Macaca fascicularis: one gene and its partners. The protein of the gene in region 1 purifies or fractionates together with the protein of each later gene. This does not show direct contact. Links are inferred from orthologs where the notes say so. Each region holds a gene or a part of one and is shown in the gene's direction. Other genes may lie near its edges.

Region 1 (5,749 bases):
CTTACTTTGTTAATTTAGTGACAGTGGCTCTTTGAATCCTAGAAGTGAATTACTACCTTGGTATAATTCAAGCTCATGTTTTCCTTACCCTACCCCCAACAGGTGCTGTTGAATTGTGGGAACTAGATGAGAATGAAACACTTATTGTCAGCAAGTTCTGCAAGTATGAGCATGATGACATTGTGTCTACAGTCTGTGTCCTGAGCTCTGGCACACAAGCTGTCAGTGGTAGCAAAGACTTCTGGTGGGTCCCTGTTCTCATTGCTTCTGTCTCTGAGCCTCCTTTGGGCGCCTTTCCTATCCTGTTAACCTCATTAGGTAACATTTTGGGCTTATTCTAAGAATTCAGTGACTAACTTTAGCATGTCTATAAGGTTTCCTTAGGGATTTTGCAGTCCATTGTAAGTAGACCATAGCAGCAGTCCAGGAGGCAAAGACTTGGGGAATGTTGATTACAGGAAGTTCATGTTTGAACACGTTTTTATGTTGCTAGTGTAGGTCAAGATTAAATGTCTGTTTTCTTTTGCCTCTTAGCATCAAGGTTTGGGACCTTGCTCAGCAGGTGGTACTGAATTCATACCGAGGTGAGTATTCTTTCATTTTTAGCCCTGGTCTTAGCTATTGTGTTTTTGGACTTTCTGAAGTTTGCTTTGATGTTAGGAACAGCAATTCCATGTTCTGATAGTTTTCTTATAAAACAGTAGTCAGGCTCCAGTATCTACCCCTTGTCCTTTTCTCAATTTCCTTGTTTCTTTTTTCTTTCTTTTTTATTTTTTTTTAATTCGACTAGTCAAGTACAGTAGTGAAAAGAGGGGAAGAATAGACAAGGAGTTTAGTCTGTAACTGACTGTGAACAATCAACTGAGATAACTCGCTACCTTCAGACCAGCCAGTTTCCCTGTTTCTATTGATGGCCTCACCACCTTGGCAACACAGGGCTCAAACTCTCGGTCCTTTTCCACCCCTTCTGTTTCCCCACCATCAGTTGGCCACTAAGTTCTTTTTAGTCTTTTCCACTGGTCAGTCACCTTCCTATCCATTTCTATGCCCCTATTCGCTTTCAGGCTTTACCTTACACAGGTAGTAGCACTCATGTCTCCACTAGCAATCTAGCTCTTTTGGTCTTTTATTAGTTTCTTGTGGCCAGTGGATTAAAATCCCATTTTCTTGTAATGGCATTGAAACCCTTTTACTGCATTTCCTCTCTTCAAGCTTATTAGATCCTTGACATTCTCAAGGGATAAATCTTGAGACTTTCAAATCTTGAACTTTTGAGTATTTACCTTCATAAAATGTCTGTTTTCTTTTGAGAACCATTGCTTTTTTAATGCCCCTCTTTCTGCTCACTTTCATTAACAGCACTAGTGGTTGACTTTATCTTGGGAGCCATTCTTTGTGAAGATAATGTCTAGAGCCTTAATGTGTGCATGTTCCAAGATTTAGATGCTGGGTGATTGATCACTGTGGTTCTCTTAATGGCTAAGTGCCTTTCCCTGCCATTTCTAACTTCAAAGTACATGATTAAGTTATAGACCAGAGAAATCACAGACTCATATCCAAGGTCCAGTATCCTGGACCTTCAGGGTCACTTGCAAATAGTTTTACAATAATGTTGAATGCCCAGCTGTGCGCAGTGGCTCACGCCTGAAATCCCAGCACTTTGGGAGGCTGAGGTAGGCAGATCATATGAAGCCTAGGAGTTAAGAGACTAGTCTGGCCAACATGCCGAAACCCTGTCTTTACTAAAAAGTACAAAAATTAGCCAGGCATAGTGGTGCACATCTGTAATCCCAACTACTTGGGAGGCTGAAGCCCGAGAATCGCTTGAACCCAGGAGGCGGAGGTTGCAGTGAATCGAGATCACGTCACTGCACTCCAGCCTGGGCAACAGAGTGAAGCTGTTTCAGGAGAGAAAAAAAAAGTCAATGCCCTACGTCTATTATATTTGCCTTTTATTGCGTAGACATATGTGCTTTCCTGGTTAATGCTAACTCTTTTTCAGCATTTCTGCCATGCAGCCTTTCTGTTATTCTTTGTGTTTGTGTCTTATTCCCCCTGCTGAATTCCAAATCCTTTATTTTTTTTTAATTTTTTGTAGAGACAGAGTCTTGCTATGTTGCCCAGGCTGGTCTCAAATTCCTGGGCTCAAGGGATCTCCCGCTTTGGCCTCCCAAAGTGCTGAGAGATTACAGGCATGAGCCACTGCATCCTGCCCCAAAACCTTTGAGGGTAGAGGAACCATGTATTCTTCATCTTTTCTTTACCACCATGATGCTTGTCCCAGAGCTTTGCTTTTTTCAAGTGAGCAATAAATTCCTTTTCTTACTTCTTATTCTGTTGACTTTCTATGAATTCTAGGGCTAGGAAAGAACTATGGAAGCTGGTTTAGTTCCATCCTTCTGCCTCAGGGAAGGGCCACATTCAGACTACCTGGGAAAGTCTGGTAAAATGACTGTGGAAGAGGTTTCCACAGTTTCCAATTAACATGTAGCAGTGACTTTAAAGTTTTTTACATGTAGACCTCCTAAAACAATTTTGAAAATCTGTGCCCCCTCATACATTTTAAAATTGATACCTAAAGAAATTTTTTAAGTAGTTGCAGAGAAGGTAATTTCTGGCATATAATTTATTATATACTTATTTCAAGCGTATATTTGTCCAAATTTTAGGTTTGCAGGTTAATCCTATTTAGTTTGTACAAATGTCTACCAAATAGCCTAACTGGCAAAAGCCAATCTGCATTGTAAAGCCAGTGGACCAAGTTAGACTAAATTTTCCATCAGAAAAAGTCTGACTTTGTTTTTAAATTCAGATAAAGTTGTTGAATATGTCCTTATCACAACGATCTGTCATATGTTTTAGTTCTCGTTATTAGACAGAAACAGAGTGAAGTTACAGAACCATACTTGTGTTTGTGGTGTGACTGAAACAAGATCAGCGCCCCCTTCATTGAATTTTACCTAGATACTCTTTCTTTTTGCTCTTCGGTTCTTAGGGAAAAGCCGCTTTTGTGCCTTAGTTTAGAACCCTTATGTTTTTATACCCCTGAGCATTGTACCATGGAAAGATCTGGGATGAATGACAGGTATGTGTTCTTTCTTTAAAGTGGAAGAAGGGTGATTGTGAAAATAGAGGCAGTTCAATTTTAAGAAAGAGAACATTAGAGAAATTGGCTCTCTTAATACTATTAGCGCCCAGAACTCCCTCGAAAGTTTTTGTATACTACTTGGAGGTATGTGTGCTCCAGTATGAAGACTGCTATTCTAGAATTATTTAGATCTCACGTCTAAGATGCCTTAACTGGAAATTCCTTTGTTATTCTTAATAAGCTCCTAATTTCTCATTCATTGTTTTCACTAATACATTTTTTTTTTACAAGGCTTTTTAGGTTTTATAAGTGTATAAACTTCTCCTCTTAGCTTTTGTCTGATCCATAATCTCCCACAAAATTTGTTAAATTGCATCATGAGACCAGCCCTCCCTCCCTCCTGCACCTTGATTACTCCTGGGCTGGCCCTCTTGTAATGCTTCAGCTTGTTTTCTATCATGTTTCTCTTTCTCTCTCCTTTATAGCTCATGCTGCACAGGTCACTTGTGTTGCTGCCTCTCCTCACAAGGACTCTGTGTTTCTTTCATGCAGCGAGGTAAGAGATAGCTCCTTCTTCCCTAAACACACTCCAGCCCTCCATAGGCCAAAGTCTCTAGTGTGGAGACTTTCTGGCCTGCAGCGCTTTGGACTGTGAGATCCTTTTTCTGTTCCGCCTTCCTCTAGGACAACAGAATTTTACTCTGGGATACCCGCTGTCCCAAGCCAGCATCACAGATGGGTGAGTCTGAGATTCATTGGTGGGAGAGTAGTACTTGGAACCCTGATAGAAGAGAATTTCTTTGGCCAGTGTCAAAGCATAGTTGCCAGATGCCCAGTGTAGTTACTGTGACATGAGTGACATAATCTCCTTCTTTTCCACTGAGACTCTGCTAACCCCATTCTTGCAATGCATACCAAGAGGAAGGGCCAGTTCCTGGGTGGCTGATTTACTTTATTAGACGGGAGGACAAAGGGGCCAGAATTGTTATCTTCATGATTTGTGCCTGAAACTTGCCTGTGACTCATGTCCAGAAAGGGCAGGAAGCTGGTGGATAAATGGTTATGAGGCTCAAGGATGAGGACACTGCTGCCTTAGCAGGGTTTGGGAAATCAAATAAAGGTGCTCCCAGGATTTAGAGTGATGTCATTTGAGAAACCGCTTCTTCTGGACTCTTTTGAGTTTTTGTCCAGACCCTCTTCTCTCCTTTGCAGGCTGCAGTGCGCCTGGCTACCTTCCTACCTCACTGGCTTGGCATCCTCAGCAAAGTGAAGTCTTTGTCTTTGGTAAGGCAGCATGTCAGACTTCATATTGACTCTGGGAAAGGGGAGGAGGAAAGAGAAAGAGCTGACTCCACAATGCACAAGGCCCTTGCTGCTCAGTCTTAGCCCTCATGGACACTAGATGAATTATGAATTGAGGGTGGGGAGGTGGGGTGATGCCAAGGTAGTTTTAGTGTAGCTTTGGAGAACATGATTATTTTCCCAGTGGATTTGATTTTTGATTGATGGATCTAGCTCCTATATTCTGGGCATGGCTATAAGTCAGTGAGCCACAAAGCAAGTGGATTGCTATACAGCGAATTCTTTTCTACTGTGGGTAGGTGTAGAGCTATCGTGGTCATGAGGCTGTGTGTATGGTGACGTAGTTTGTGGTTAAAATAATAACTGCTTCATTCATTAACTTAATTTTCACAATCATCCAGTGACGACTTATCCCTGCTTTGCAAAAGAGATAACTGATGCTCAGAATGGTTAACTTTTCCAAGCTTAAGGAACTAGGATTCACATCTTTGGCCCCAAAGTCCATGCTCTTAATTACCATGACATGTCCCTTCTCTTCTACAGGTGATGAGAATGGGACAGTCTCCCTTGTGGATACCAAGAGTACAAGCTGTGTCCTGAGCTCAGCTGTACATTCCCAGTGTGTCACTGGGCTGGTGTTCTCCCCACACAGGTACTGTTCTTTGTCATCAGGGGCCTGATGGGTATAAATGGGAACAGTGAGGGTGTGTGTGTATGTTTTCAAAGCATTAGCTCATTAAGTAGTTCCTTAAAGCAGACAGTGTTCTAACTGAGGTTTTGGAACATCAAAGATCTCTTAAGTGGGAAGTGGAATCCTTTGGGAATCAAAGGATTTTTCAGATTATACGGTTTCTGTCTGAAATGGCTAAAATGTGGTCTCATTCCTGCTCAACACCCAACATGGTTCATATTGTGGGTTTCTGGGACTGTGAGGTTGGAAAAGCCTGTGTTTCTGGGTTATTGCTGAAGCTATAGAGAGGGACCAGATGGGGCGGTTAGTTACCAGGATGGTTGTCAACCCTAACTTTGCTTCATTTCCTTCATCTTTACTTGAAACTTTTAGTGTCAACTTAGAGTAGCCAGACCTTAGCCAAAAGTGGGAATCAGGCTGCCTTTTCTGGGTCACTTTACAGTAGCGGTGGCGCCAGCTCAGTTAAGGTTTTGTCTTGGGATCCAGGCTGTGCCTTTCACAACCCTCTCCTCCCTCTGATAGTGTTCCCTTCCTGGCCTCTCTCAGTGAAGACTGCTCACTTGCTGTGCTGGACTCAAGCCTTTCTGAGGTGTAAGTGTGAAGTGGAATCCTTTGGGAATCAGGGAAGGGGAGCAGTGGGTGGGTGAGTCATTTTCCTCTTCAGAAAA
Region 2 (6,055 bases), on another chromosome or scaffold:
CCACGGGCACTGACCTGGACTTCGACTTATCCAGCGACAGCGAGAGCAGCAGTGAGTCCGAGGGCACGAAGTCTCCCTCCTCCGCCTCTGACGGCGAAAGTGAGGGGGGGAGAAGCCGGCAGAAGCCAAAGGAGGAGGAGAACCCGGCTCCAGAGGGAGCCGGGGCGCTGGCTCAGGGCAGTTCCCTGGAGCCGGGGCGGCCTGCAGCACTGAGTCTCCCCGGAGAGGCCGAGCCCGGCACGCATGCCCCAGACAAGGGGCCCGAGCTGGGTGGGCAGGAGGAGGGCGAGCGGGACGGCCTCTGCGGCCTGGGCAATGGCTGTGCCGACAGGAAGGAGGCGGAGACCGAGTCACAGAACAGCGAGCTGTCGGGCGTCACCGCGGGCGAGTCCCTGGACCAGAGTGTGGAGGAGGAGGAGGAGGAGGACACGGACGAGGATGACCACCTCATCTACCTGGAGGAGATCCTGGTCCGTGTGCACACCGACTACTACGCCAAGTACGACCGCTTCCTCAACAAGGAGATCGAGGAGGCGCCGGATATCCGCAAGATCGTGCCGGAACTGAAGAGCAAGGTGCTGGCTGATGTGGCCATAATTTTCAGTGGGCTGCACCCGACAAACTTCCCGATAGAGAAGACGCGGGAGCATTACCACGCCACGGCGCTGGGAGCGAAGATCCTCACTCGGCTGGTGCTGAGCCCCGACGCCCCTGACAGGGCCACGCACCTGATCGCCGCGCGGGCTGGTGAGTGCTGCCTCCCTGTGCCCCGGGCATGGTCAGGCCCGCCGTCTCCTTGCAGGCACTCCTTAGAGCTGGCATTGCTGTTCATCTCACATTCAACTTTTAGAAACGTTTCCCAGAATCACCATCAAAATTTTAAGAATAGATCATGACGTTGGGTGAAATTCGAGTTCGGGCACGTTCATGCTTTCGGACCGCAGTCATCACGCACAGTGTTGGGTGGTGTGAGTTACTCACGTGCGGTGTAGAAAGTTCAGCGCTTCTCCCTGGAGTGAGCCATGGCTGCATTAGAGAGCAGGGAATCAGCGATGGGGCGAGTGAGCCATGGAGAGCAGGGAATCAGCGATGGGGTGAGTGATCCATGGCTGGATTAGAGAACAGGGAATCAGCGATAGGATGAGTGAGCCATGGCTGGATTGGAGAGCAGGGAATCAGCGATGGGGCGAGTGAGCCATGGCTGGACTGGAGAGCAGGGAATCAGCGATGGGGCGAGTGAGCCGTGGCTGGACTGGAGAGCAGGGAATCAGCGATGGGGTGAGTGAGCCGTGGCTGGATTGGAGAGCAGGGAATCAGCGATGGGGTGAGTGAGCCGTGGCTGGATTGGAGAGCAGGGAATCAGCGATGGGGTGAGTGAGCCGTGGCTGGATTGGAGAGCAGGGAATCAGCGATGGGGTGAGTGAGCCGTGGCTGGATTGGAGAGCAGGGAATCAGCGATGGGGTGAGTGAGCCGTGGCTGGATTGGAGAGCAGGGAATCAGCGATGGGGTGAGTGAGCCGTGGCTGGATTGGAGAGCAGGGAATCAGCGATGGGGTGAGTGAGCCGTGGCTGGATTGGAGAGCAGGGAATCAGCGATGGGGTGAGTGAGCCGTGGCTGGATTGGAGAGCAGGGAATCAGCGATGGGGTGAGTGAGCCATGGCTGGATTAGAGAACAAGGAATCAGCGATGGGGTGTAGTGGAAAAACTCCAGGCAGAAACAGGATGCGGGGCCCTCAGTTCACAGGTAAAAGGTTGACAAAGCCTCTGAGTTAGAAAACTAAGTGCAAAGTTTTGGCTGAAACGTGCGTAGAAGGACACGTTGTGGCTGGGAGAGCGGAGGACAGGCCTGCTGTCTCCTGATGGTGAAACCTGTCCCAGACGGGGCAGGCCGCTCTGACACGTTGAAAGTTCTGCCGAATAAAACAGAACCTTTCAGCGATAGGTGAATCTTGAAGGAAGACTTGCACCCCAGTGCTTAAAAAACCCAAATATCTCAGTATTCTAGTTATTCTGTGAAAATGCTCCCATAAGCACCTGGATTTTCCCCGAATGAAGATTGCCTAAATCACTTCAGGTTCTGCTCCTCCAATCGCGCTTCCTGTCCTGGCGGCGTTTCCTGAGAGGGCTTCTCAGTGCGTGGCCCCGCCTCCAGGGCTCAGGGTAGCCTTGTGGGGTGAGCTCATCCCTGTCCACGCACGCTCCCTGACAGCAAGTGTGGTCTTATTTGAGGCCACGCCTCTAGTCCGTGTCACGTGGTGTTGGACATGCATGTGCTCAGTAAAGCGTTTGAATCAAGGGTACATGGAAGGCTCCATCTCAGTGTGAAATAGGCAGGTGCTGGCTGCAGGGCAGGGGCAGGCTTTCCGTGGAGCCCAGCGAAACCCTTGATCCCAGGAGAAAGCCAGGCCCTGGCCTCCCACGGGCAGTCAGGCCCTTCTCTCCTGAGCGTGGAGCCGGGCCAGGCCACGGTCCTCCTTGGCTCCTCAGGTGCCCGTCTGCCCTGCCCCATGTCTGCCCAGCTCCTGACCCTTCTCTCCTGTGCATGGAGCCAGGCCAGACCGGGGTCCTCCTGAGCCCCTCGGGTGCCCATCTGCCCTGCCCCGTGAGTGCCCAGCTCCTGGCCCTTCTCTCCTGAGCATGGAGGTGGGCCAGGCTGGGGTCCTCCTTGGCCCCTCGGGTGCCCATTTGCCCTGCCCTGTGTCTGCCCAGCTCTTGACCCTTCTTTCGCTTTCCTTCCTTCCCCCGGAATTGTGCTCACGTTTCTTTTTGCTTCGGTGTTTGTGGCCTTACTGTTGAGGGGCCTTCCTGAACACATGCTCACGTCACCTGCTGTGCCCAGCTCCTCGTCTGAGATCCACCACTTCCCACCATGGCTGCTTATCCCTGGCCTGGGAGATGGGAACCTGCAGTGGGCAGCCCTGGTGGGGTACAGCCGAGTGAGGGCCCTGGGCTCTGGTGGGGTGCAGCCGAGTGAGGGCCCTGGGCTCTGGTGGGGTGCAGCCGGGTGAGGGCCCTGGGCTCTGGTGGGGTGCAGCCAGGTGAGGGCCTTGGTGGGGTGCAGCCGGGTGAGGGCCCTGAGCCCTGGTGGTTGCAGCCGGGTGAGGGCCCTGGTGGGGTACAGTCTGTTGAGGGTCCTGGTGGGGTGCAGCCGGGTGAGGGCCCCAAGCCCTGGTGGGGTGCAGTTGGGTGAGGGCCCTGAGTCCTGGCGAGGTGCAGTTGGGTGAGGGCCCTGGTGGGGTGCAGCCGGGTGAAGGCCCCGAGTCCTGGTGATTACAGCCAGGTGAGGGCCCTGAGCCCTGGTTGGATGCAGTCGGGTGAGGGTCCTGAGCCCTGGTGGGGTGCAGTTGGGTGAGGGCCCTGGTGGGATGCAGCCGGGTGAGGGCCCTGGGCCCTGGTGGGGTGCAGTTGGGTGAGGGCCCTGGTGGGGTGCAGCCGGGTGAGGGCCCTGGGCCCTGGTGGGGTGCAATTGGGTGAGGGCCCTGGTGGGTGCAGCCAGGTGAGGCCCCTGGGCCCTGGTGGGGTGCAGTCGGGTGAGGGCCCTGGTGGGTGCAGCCAGATGTGGGCCCTGAGCCTCCAGTGCTGGCCAAGACAGCCTGATGCAGCCGGGTCTCCCGCAGGCACAGAGAAGGTGCTGCAGGCGCAGGAGTGCGGACACCTGCACGTGGTCAACCCTGACTGGCTGTGGAGTTGCCTGGAGCGCTGGGACAAGGTGGAGGAGCAGCTCTTCCCGCTCAGGGACGACCACAGCAAGAGGTGGGTCCTCGCCGCACCCCGCACATCCCTGCCAGGCGTTCCCTCGCCAGACAGCTGTTGGTTCACACACCTAGGCAGTGCCCGCCAGGTGTCCCTGGGTGCCTGCTCTGCGTCGCCCAGACGCCCCGCTCATGGCCCTTGTTCTGTTCCTCCGACAGGGAGAACAGTCCTGCAGCCTTTCCCGACCGGGAGGGTGTGCCCCCCACCACCTTGTTCCACCCGATGCCGGTTCTTCCCAAGGCCCAGCCTGGCCCCGAGGTTCGAATCTACGACTCCAACACGGGGAAGCTCATCAGGACGGGCGCCCGGGGGCCCCCAGCGCCCCCCAGCTCCTTACCCCTCCACCGGGAGCCCTCTTCCTTCAGGTACATGGTGGCGCAGCCACTGCCCCCAGCTAGTGAGGGCTCTTCAAGCTGCTCTGGTCCGTTAGGGGGATGGCGCCAGTTGCCCAACGTGAGGGCGGGTGGAGGCTGCAGACGGTGACTCCCGCTTCCACCTTGTGGGAACGCCGCCCCCACTGGCTCTCTCGGGTCCTTTTGTTCTTCTGTCCTCTCTTGGTTCCCAAAACTGAAACAAAACCCTACAACCAGCTTCTCAGATGTTGTCCAGGCACCTGCATGTGCACACCTGTGGCCGCCCCGCAGAGCACTCGGTCCTGGGAACACTCAGCAGAGAATGGGCAGAGCAGGGCTGGTTTCGAGCCCCCGCCCCCGTCGCCTTGCCGGCTGCTCTCTGCCGGCCCCACGTTTGTTGCTCTGCCAGACCCCGGGCTGCCGTCTTTGTTTCCACACAGAGCAGGCGCAGGGGTGATGGCAGTGGCTGTTGGCAAACAGCACCGTGAGGAAGGGAAACTTGACTGGACTGGAAGGCGTTGGTAGCCGGGATCTGTGCTGCCCTGGAGAGGGGAAATTGCAGGCCCCGGGGGATGCTTCCTGCGCACGTGGCCTCTGTGCCTGTTTACCGGTGTGGACCGGAGATCAGCCCTCAGCCTGAGGTTGTGGCCCCTGCAGACCCCATGGGACATTCTTGGAGATTTAAATGAGTCTTTGTTCTGTGGTTGTTGCTTTGAAATTCAACCAAAAGTTTAACTAGATTAAACTTGACCCGGGCGAGGAGCACCTACCAAGACCTGGTGTGTGTTCACCCCTGGAAGCCCTCTGACAGGTCACAACGCCTCAAATCCTGCGACGGGTGCAGAACGCAGGCTGCTGGAGGGAGACGGGTGCTCATGGTTAATGGGTAGATGGAGAGGTACGACTTGGTGTCCTTTTCGAGCCCTTGCAGGATCCAGCACTGTCCCTGCGTGGGGACACTGAGGCCCGGAGTGCATGGCCCTCCCAGGTCAGGAGCAGGGGTGGCCAGAGCGTGGCCTTTGCACAGTGGGCGGCAGCTCCCGAGCCTGGGTGGGCAGGTGAGTGAGGAGGCCCCGCCAGGCACCACGACAAAGCCCAGTCAGCTTTCGGGAGAGGCCACTCCCTCTGGAAACGCGCTCTGGTTCCTCCCAGGTTTTCTGTTTTTAGATTGTGTTTTGTCTTTTGTGATTCTAGAGAGTAGCGTGTGCCCCTTTCGGCTGATTTCACAGCCCTTGAGGTCACGGTGGGGAGTGTTGCTAAGAGGAGTCGTCGGGTCGGGCGACTGGGAGGTGGGCAGGTGCAGGGTGGCTTCCTGTGCGGCAGCCTGGCAACGCGCTGGGACCTGGGGGATGGGGGGTTTGGGATGAATCCGAGGTTCTCCATTCTGATGACAGGGAAGAGGATCCCCAGCCACACACTGATGATGTCATCCCGAAGGACAGGAAGACATTCTGGTGACAGTGTCACCTCCCGTTGTTAGGAAGGCGCTGGGTGGTGATGTCACCTCCCATCGTGTCGTCCTGGTGACGATGTCGTCGCCTGTCATTAAGAAGGCGTCCTGATGGTGACGTTGTTTCTGGTCGTTAGAAAGGCTTCCTGTCCGGGCTGGTTGGGCTTTTAACACGAGGTGTCTTTCCAACACTGCTGCTCTAGCTCTTCGGGGCCGACAGGCGCCTGCAGTTCAGTTTGTTTTTGATGCTGACGACCCACAGTTGGCATCAGGCCTTGAGTCTACGGGCTCATTCCCTCGTCTGAGGGTTGCCCTCATCTCTGACCCCCAGGCCCCTCACCGTCCAGCTTGGCCACAGGGTTGGGGGTCCCCAGACACAGACTTTTGCAGTTTTGATCATCTGCTGAATCAGCTCACGAAACTTTGGAAAACATTTCACTCAGCAGTACCAGTTTATTTTAAAGGCTCAAGAACAGCCAAATGAGGGGGTGCAAGGGG
Region 3 (5,134 bases), on another chromosome or scaffold:
CATGTGCCTTTTGTGTATGGCTTCTTCCACTTAGCGTATTTTCAAGGTGCATCCATGCCATAGCATGTATCAGCACTGCATTCCTTTTTATGGCTGAATAATTCCATCATACGCATATACCACATTTTGTTTTCCCATTCATCCATTGATGGACATTTGTGTTGTTTCTCCCTTTTGGTGATTGTAAGTAGTGCTGCTGTCAGTATCCTTGTTTTATTTGAACACCTCTTTTCAGTTCTTTTGGGTATATGTTTAGGACTGGGATTGCTGGGTCATATGGTAATTCTGTATTTATGTTATGGAACTAGTTAAGTAAATTTCAGCTCAGTCACACTTTTTTTTTTGTTTGTTTGAGACAGGGTCTCACTCTGTGCAATGGCACGATCTTGGCTCACTGCAGTCTCTGCCTCCCAGGCTCAAGTGATCCTCCCACCTCAGCCTCCTGAGTAGCTGGGATTACAGGTGAATGCCACTGCACCCAGCTAAATTTTTTGAAGTTTTTGTAGAGACAAGGTTTTGCCACATTGTTCAGGCTGGTCTTGAACTTCTGAGCTCAAGCAGTCTGCTTGCCTCGGCCTCCCAAAGTGCTAGGTTTACAGGGGTGAGGTACCACGCCCTGCCCAGTCCCATGTTTAGTACTTGGCAAAACAGGGATTTGAAACCAGGCAGTCTGGCTTTAGACCCCTTGCTCTGAACTATCACTTTATTGCTTATCACTGTTACTGTTGTTCCAGTATTAAGAGCATGGCTGTTTTAGGCTGATTGCCTTCTCTCCTGGGACCTGGCATCACCAAAGCACTGTGCTCGGAAATCCATTATCTTTCCCCAGTCTTTCCTCTCTTATTGTGAGACCTTTTGCAAATGTACCTTCCAGCCTCCCCACTGTCAGAAGGAGGCACTAGGTGCTGCCCATTGTAACTAGACAGGCTCTGGTCTGTCTGCAGTGCCCCTGCTCTCCTTTGTCCCTGTGCTCACCTCTAACATGCTCTTTGAGGCTGAAGGGAGGAATAAAAGAGCAAAAACGGCCGGGCGCGGTGGCTTACGTCTGTAATCCCAGCACTTTGGGAGGCTGAGGCGGATGGATCACAAGGTCAGGAGTTCAAGACCAGCCTGGCCAAGATGGTGAAACCCCATCTCTACTAAAAATACAAAAAAATTAACTGGGCATGGTGGCGGGCACCTGTAATTCCAGCTTCTCAGGAGGCCGAGGCAGATAATTGCGTGAACCTGGGAGGTAGAGGTTGCAGTGAGCTGAGATGGCGCCACTGCACTCCAACCTGGGCTACAGAGTGAGACTGTCTCAAAAAAAAAAAAAAAAAAAAAGCAAAATCTTAATTCAAGCTTGTATTGTGAAAGCGTATTATTTATCAGAGGCCCTTTGCCTCAGTGACAGACATGCAAACCACCTGAAAATGTTAACTGTCCCTAGCTCTCTTTGTAAATTAAAGGACCTGGCAATTAATGGTCTTGTATAAGACAAAACATCTTATTGAAAATAAGTTGGCCGGGCGCGGTGGCTCAAGCCTGTAATCCCAGCACTTTGGGAGGCCGAGACGGGCGGATCACGAGGTCAGGAGATCGAGACCATCCTGGCTAACACAGTGAAATTCCGTCTCTACTAAAAAATACAAAAAACTAGCCGGGCGAGGTGGCGGGCGCCTGTAGTCCCAGCTACTTGGGAGGCTGCGGCAGGAGAATGGCGCAAACCCGGGAAGCGGAGCTTGCAGTGAGCTGAGATCCGGCCACTGCACTCCAGCCTGGGCGACAGCGCGAGACTCCGCCCCCCCCCCCAAAAAAAAAAAAAAAAAAAAGAAAATAAGTTATCAGGTCTTTTAAAAACATACACAGAAGAGCATTTTTTAAAAAGTGCTCAGGTGGCGAAAGAAGACTCTGTGTACTTGCTTTACTACCTTCCTAGTAAGTCTGCCCAAAATTGACTGAGCACACAGCAGGTCCTCTTTGGTTTGTCACTAAGGCCATCTTCTCTTTGTCAATTTAGCCCGTGGAGCACAGAGCGTCCCTAATGACAGTCCTGCCCGGGGTGAGGGCACCCATTCTGAAGAGGAAGGTTTTGCCATGGATGAGGAGGACTCTGATGGAGAACTGAATACCTGGGAGCTGTCAGAAGGGACAAACTGTCCACCCAAGGAACAGCCTGGTGATATTTTTAATGAGGACTGGGACTTGGAGTTGAAAGCAGATCAAGGGAATCCATATGGTAGGTGTAGAGTCTCTGGGGGTCCTGAACCAGGCCTTCTCAGACACACCTGTCAGACTAGCGCTGAAGGCAGACAGTTTGGAACAGGGGTCCACATCTATGAGCTTAGGCTGGTATCTGTTACAGGTCTGCAATTTCTGTGACACCTCTTTTATATTGAAAAAAATACATTTGACTTCGTAATGTATCACTGTTTTAACATCAAAACTGTCACTGTCTCCAAAAATGTCTGCTATGAATTGAGCAGCTGCAGATAGAAGTGCTGTGTTATCCAGTTTGCTTCCTCTCCACTGCTAAGAACCCTTGTCTGAGAAGCACAGCTTCTCAGCTGTTCAGAATGAATGCATTTACAATTCTTCAGGAAAGGAGAACTGTGTGTGTTTTTAAACAAAATAAGTGCAAGGATCTGTCCCCTAGGCATACTTTGTGGCTGTCCATTTTTACCTTCCTTCCTTCCCTCCTTCCTTCCCTTAATCTGTCTTTTAAAACTGCCTGCAGATGCTGACGACATCCAGGAGAGCATTTCTCAAGAGCTCAAACCTTGGGTGTGCTGTGCCCCACAAGGAGATATGATCTATGACCCCAGCTGGCACCATCCGCCTCCACTGATACCCCATTATTCCAAGATGGTCTTTGAAACAGGACAGTTTGACGATGCTGAAGATTGAGTGTGGAGCTTTCTGCCTTGTAGGTGGGCGGGCCTCCACGTCAAGATCTCTTTTCCTGTCTTGGAGGTGAAAAGTGGTATCTGAGAAAACGTTCTCAGTGACCCCTAGTCTGCAGTACACAGACTAGTTCTTTATTGAACAGTGTTCAATAAGGCCCCGTCGTTCTCCCCAGTCTGTTGTTGTTACTAATGGGCTCCTCCTTGGAATGTGTATGTTTGTGTCAAGAGGAGTTGTGTTCTTTGTAAATAAAGGTGAAAAAAAGAAACTAGTATGCTTCGTCTGCTTTTTTCCCATTTATTTATTTATGGAGACAGTCTCACTGTGTCAGCCAGGCTGGAGTGCAGTAGCACAAACTTGGCTCATTGGAACCTCCACCTCCTGGGTTTAAGCGATTTTTGTGCCTCAGCCTCCCGAGTAGCTGGGACTGTAGGTGCATGCCACCACACCCGGCTAATTTTTTGTGTTTTTAGTAGAGACGGGGTTTCACCACGTTGGCCAATCTGGTCTTGAATTCCTGGCCTCAAGTGATCCACCCACCTTGGCCTCCCAAAGTGCTGGGATTACAGGTGTGAGACACTATGCCCAGCCTTCACTCCTTCATTTAAAGTCCCTGAATGACGTTTTAAAGATTGAAACGCTTGGAGGCTTAAAACTACTTTGTGAAAGAAAAAAAAATTGCCAGGCGCAGTGGCTCAAGCCAGTAATCCCAGCACTTTGGGAGGCTGAGACGGGCGGATCACGAGGTCAGGAGATCGAGACCATCCTGGGTAACATGGTGAAACCCCGTCTCTACTAAAAAATACAAAAAACTAGCCGGGCGCGGTGGCGGGCGCCTGTAGTCCCAGCTACTCGGGAGGCTGAGGCAGGAGAATGGCGTGAACCCGGGAGGCGGAGCTTGCAGTGAGCCGAGATCCGGCCACTGCACTCCAGCCTGGGTGACAGAGCGAGACTCCGTCTCAAAAAAAACAAAAAAAAACAAAAAAAATTTAGTTTTGCTTCTGTAGATCTGGCACTGTTGACCAAGGATTGAAATCCAAGAGACATTGGTGATTTTGTAGCTGATTGTTTTCCTGTTGGTAGAAAATGGAACATTTACTTAGTTAACAGGCTTTTCCCTAGGCTGAAAACTAAATGGGAAATTAGTTAAACCAGCAATTGCATAATCCTTAATTGACACTAAACTCAGTTTTCCATTTAATATTTTAATCCTTCCTTATGTGAAGTCTCTTAAAAATTTACCTCATTTTGGCTGGGCACGGTGGCTCACACCTGTAATCCTAGCACTTCAGGAGGCTGAGTTGGGCGGATCACCTGAGGTCAGGAGTTCAAGACTAGCTGGCCAACACAGAGAAACCCTGTCTCTACTAAACAAAAATTAGCCAGGTGTCATGGTGCACACCTGTAATCCCAGCTACTTGGGAGGCTGAGGCAGGAGAATTGCTTGAATCTGGGAGGCAGAGGTTTTGGTGAGCCGAGATCACGCCGTTGCGCTCCAGCCTGGACAACAAGAGTGAAACTCCATCTGCAAAACAAAACAAAACAAAAAAACCCCCAACTTTACCTCATTTTAGAGATAAGGAATGCAAGACTCAAAGTTTTGACCAGGCCGGGCGTGGTGGCTCACGCCTGTAATCCCAGCACTTTGGGAGGCTGAGGCGGGTGGATCACCTGAGGTCAGGAGTTGGAGACCAGCCTGGCCAACACGGTGAAACCCCGTCTGTACTAAAAATACAAAAATTAGCCAGGTGTGGTGATGGACGCCTGTAATCCCAGCTATTTTGGAAACTGAAGCAGGAGAATAGCTTGAACCTGGGAGGCAAAGGTTGCCGTGAGCCATGATCATGCCACTGCACTCCAGCCTGGGCAACAGGGCAAGACTCCGTCTCAAAAAAAAAAAAAAAAAAAAAAAAAATGTTTTGACCTCTTCAAGATCACACAGTGAGCAGCAGAACTGGGACCTAGATGCACATGTGACTCTGAGGTCCATTTTTGGCCCTGCGTGTGTGAGAAGATAGCACCATCTGGGGCCACGCCTTGGCAGGTCTGGGATCCATTAGAGTAAGTCACCTTTGTGTCTGACGGACTCAGGGATTGTTTCTTCCTGCCTCCTTACTGAAGCTGACTCAAGAAAAGCTTTTAGATGTGAAATTTTAGTCTACTCTTTAGCAGTTAATTGAGCATTTAACCATGTAAACATTTTCAAAGGCCCCACAAGGTGTGTGAACAAGGCAGAACCTTGTGAGGGAAT

Evidence for each region. The genes of interacting proteins can lie anywhere in the genome.
Region 2: the proteins of WDR77 (region 1) and CTDP1 fractionate together in Homo sapiens (co-fractionation; 3 studies listed by BioGRID and IntAct, with this or other methods). This does not show direct contact. The link is inferred for Macaca fascicularis from reciprocal best matches to the Homo sapiens genes WDR77 and CTDP1.
Region 3: the proteins of WDR77 (region 1) and COPRS purify together in Homo sapiens (affinity purification with mass spectrometry; 3 studies listed by BioGRID and IntAct, with this or other methods). This does not show direct contact. The link is inferred for Macaca fascicularis from reciprocal best matches to the Homo sapiens genes WDR77 and COPRS.

What each region holds. Positions count from the first base shown.
Region 1 is NC_088375.1:122,922,829-122,928,577, forward strand, and holds part of WDR77 (methylosome protein WDR77), read left to right. Parts: intron 1-102; coding exon 103-244; intron 245-534; coding exon 535-584; intron 585-3,573; coding exon 3,574-3,644; intron 3,645-3,772; coding exon 3,773-3,827; intron 3,828-4,300; coding exon 4,301-4,372; intron 4,373-4,933; coding exon 4,934-5,042; intron 5,043-5,603; coding exon 5,604-5,672; intron 5,673-5,749. UniProt on the Homo sapiens protein: Non-catalytic component of the methylosome complex, composed of PRMT5, WDR77 and CLNS1A, which modifies specific arginines to dimethylarginines in several spliceosomal Sm proteins and histones.
Region 2 is NC_088392.1:1,256,315-1,262,369, reverse strand, and holds part of CTDP1 (RNA polymerase II subunit A C-terminal domain phosphatase), read left to right. Parts: coding exon 1-747; intron 748-3,618; coding exon 3,619-3,754; intron 3,755-3,912; coding exon 3,913-4,119; intron 4,120-6,055. UniProt on the Homo sapiens protein: Processively dephosphorylates 'Ser-2' and 'Ser-5' of the heptad repeats YSPTSPS in the C-terminal domain of the largest RNA polymerase II subunit. This promotes the activity of RNA polymerase II.
Region 3 is NC_088390.1:38,090,182-38,095,315, reverse strand, and holds the end of COPRS (coordinator of PRMT5 and differentiation stimulator), read left to right. Parts: intron 1-1,999; coding exon 2,000-2,218; intron 2,219-2,716; coding exon 2,717-2,886; 3' UTR 2,887-3,151; downstream 3,152-5,134. UniProt on the Homo sapiens protein: Histone-binding protein required for histone H4 methyltransferase activity of PRMT5.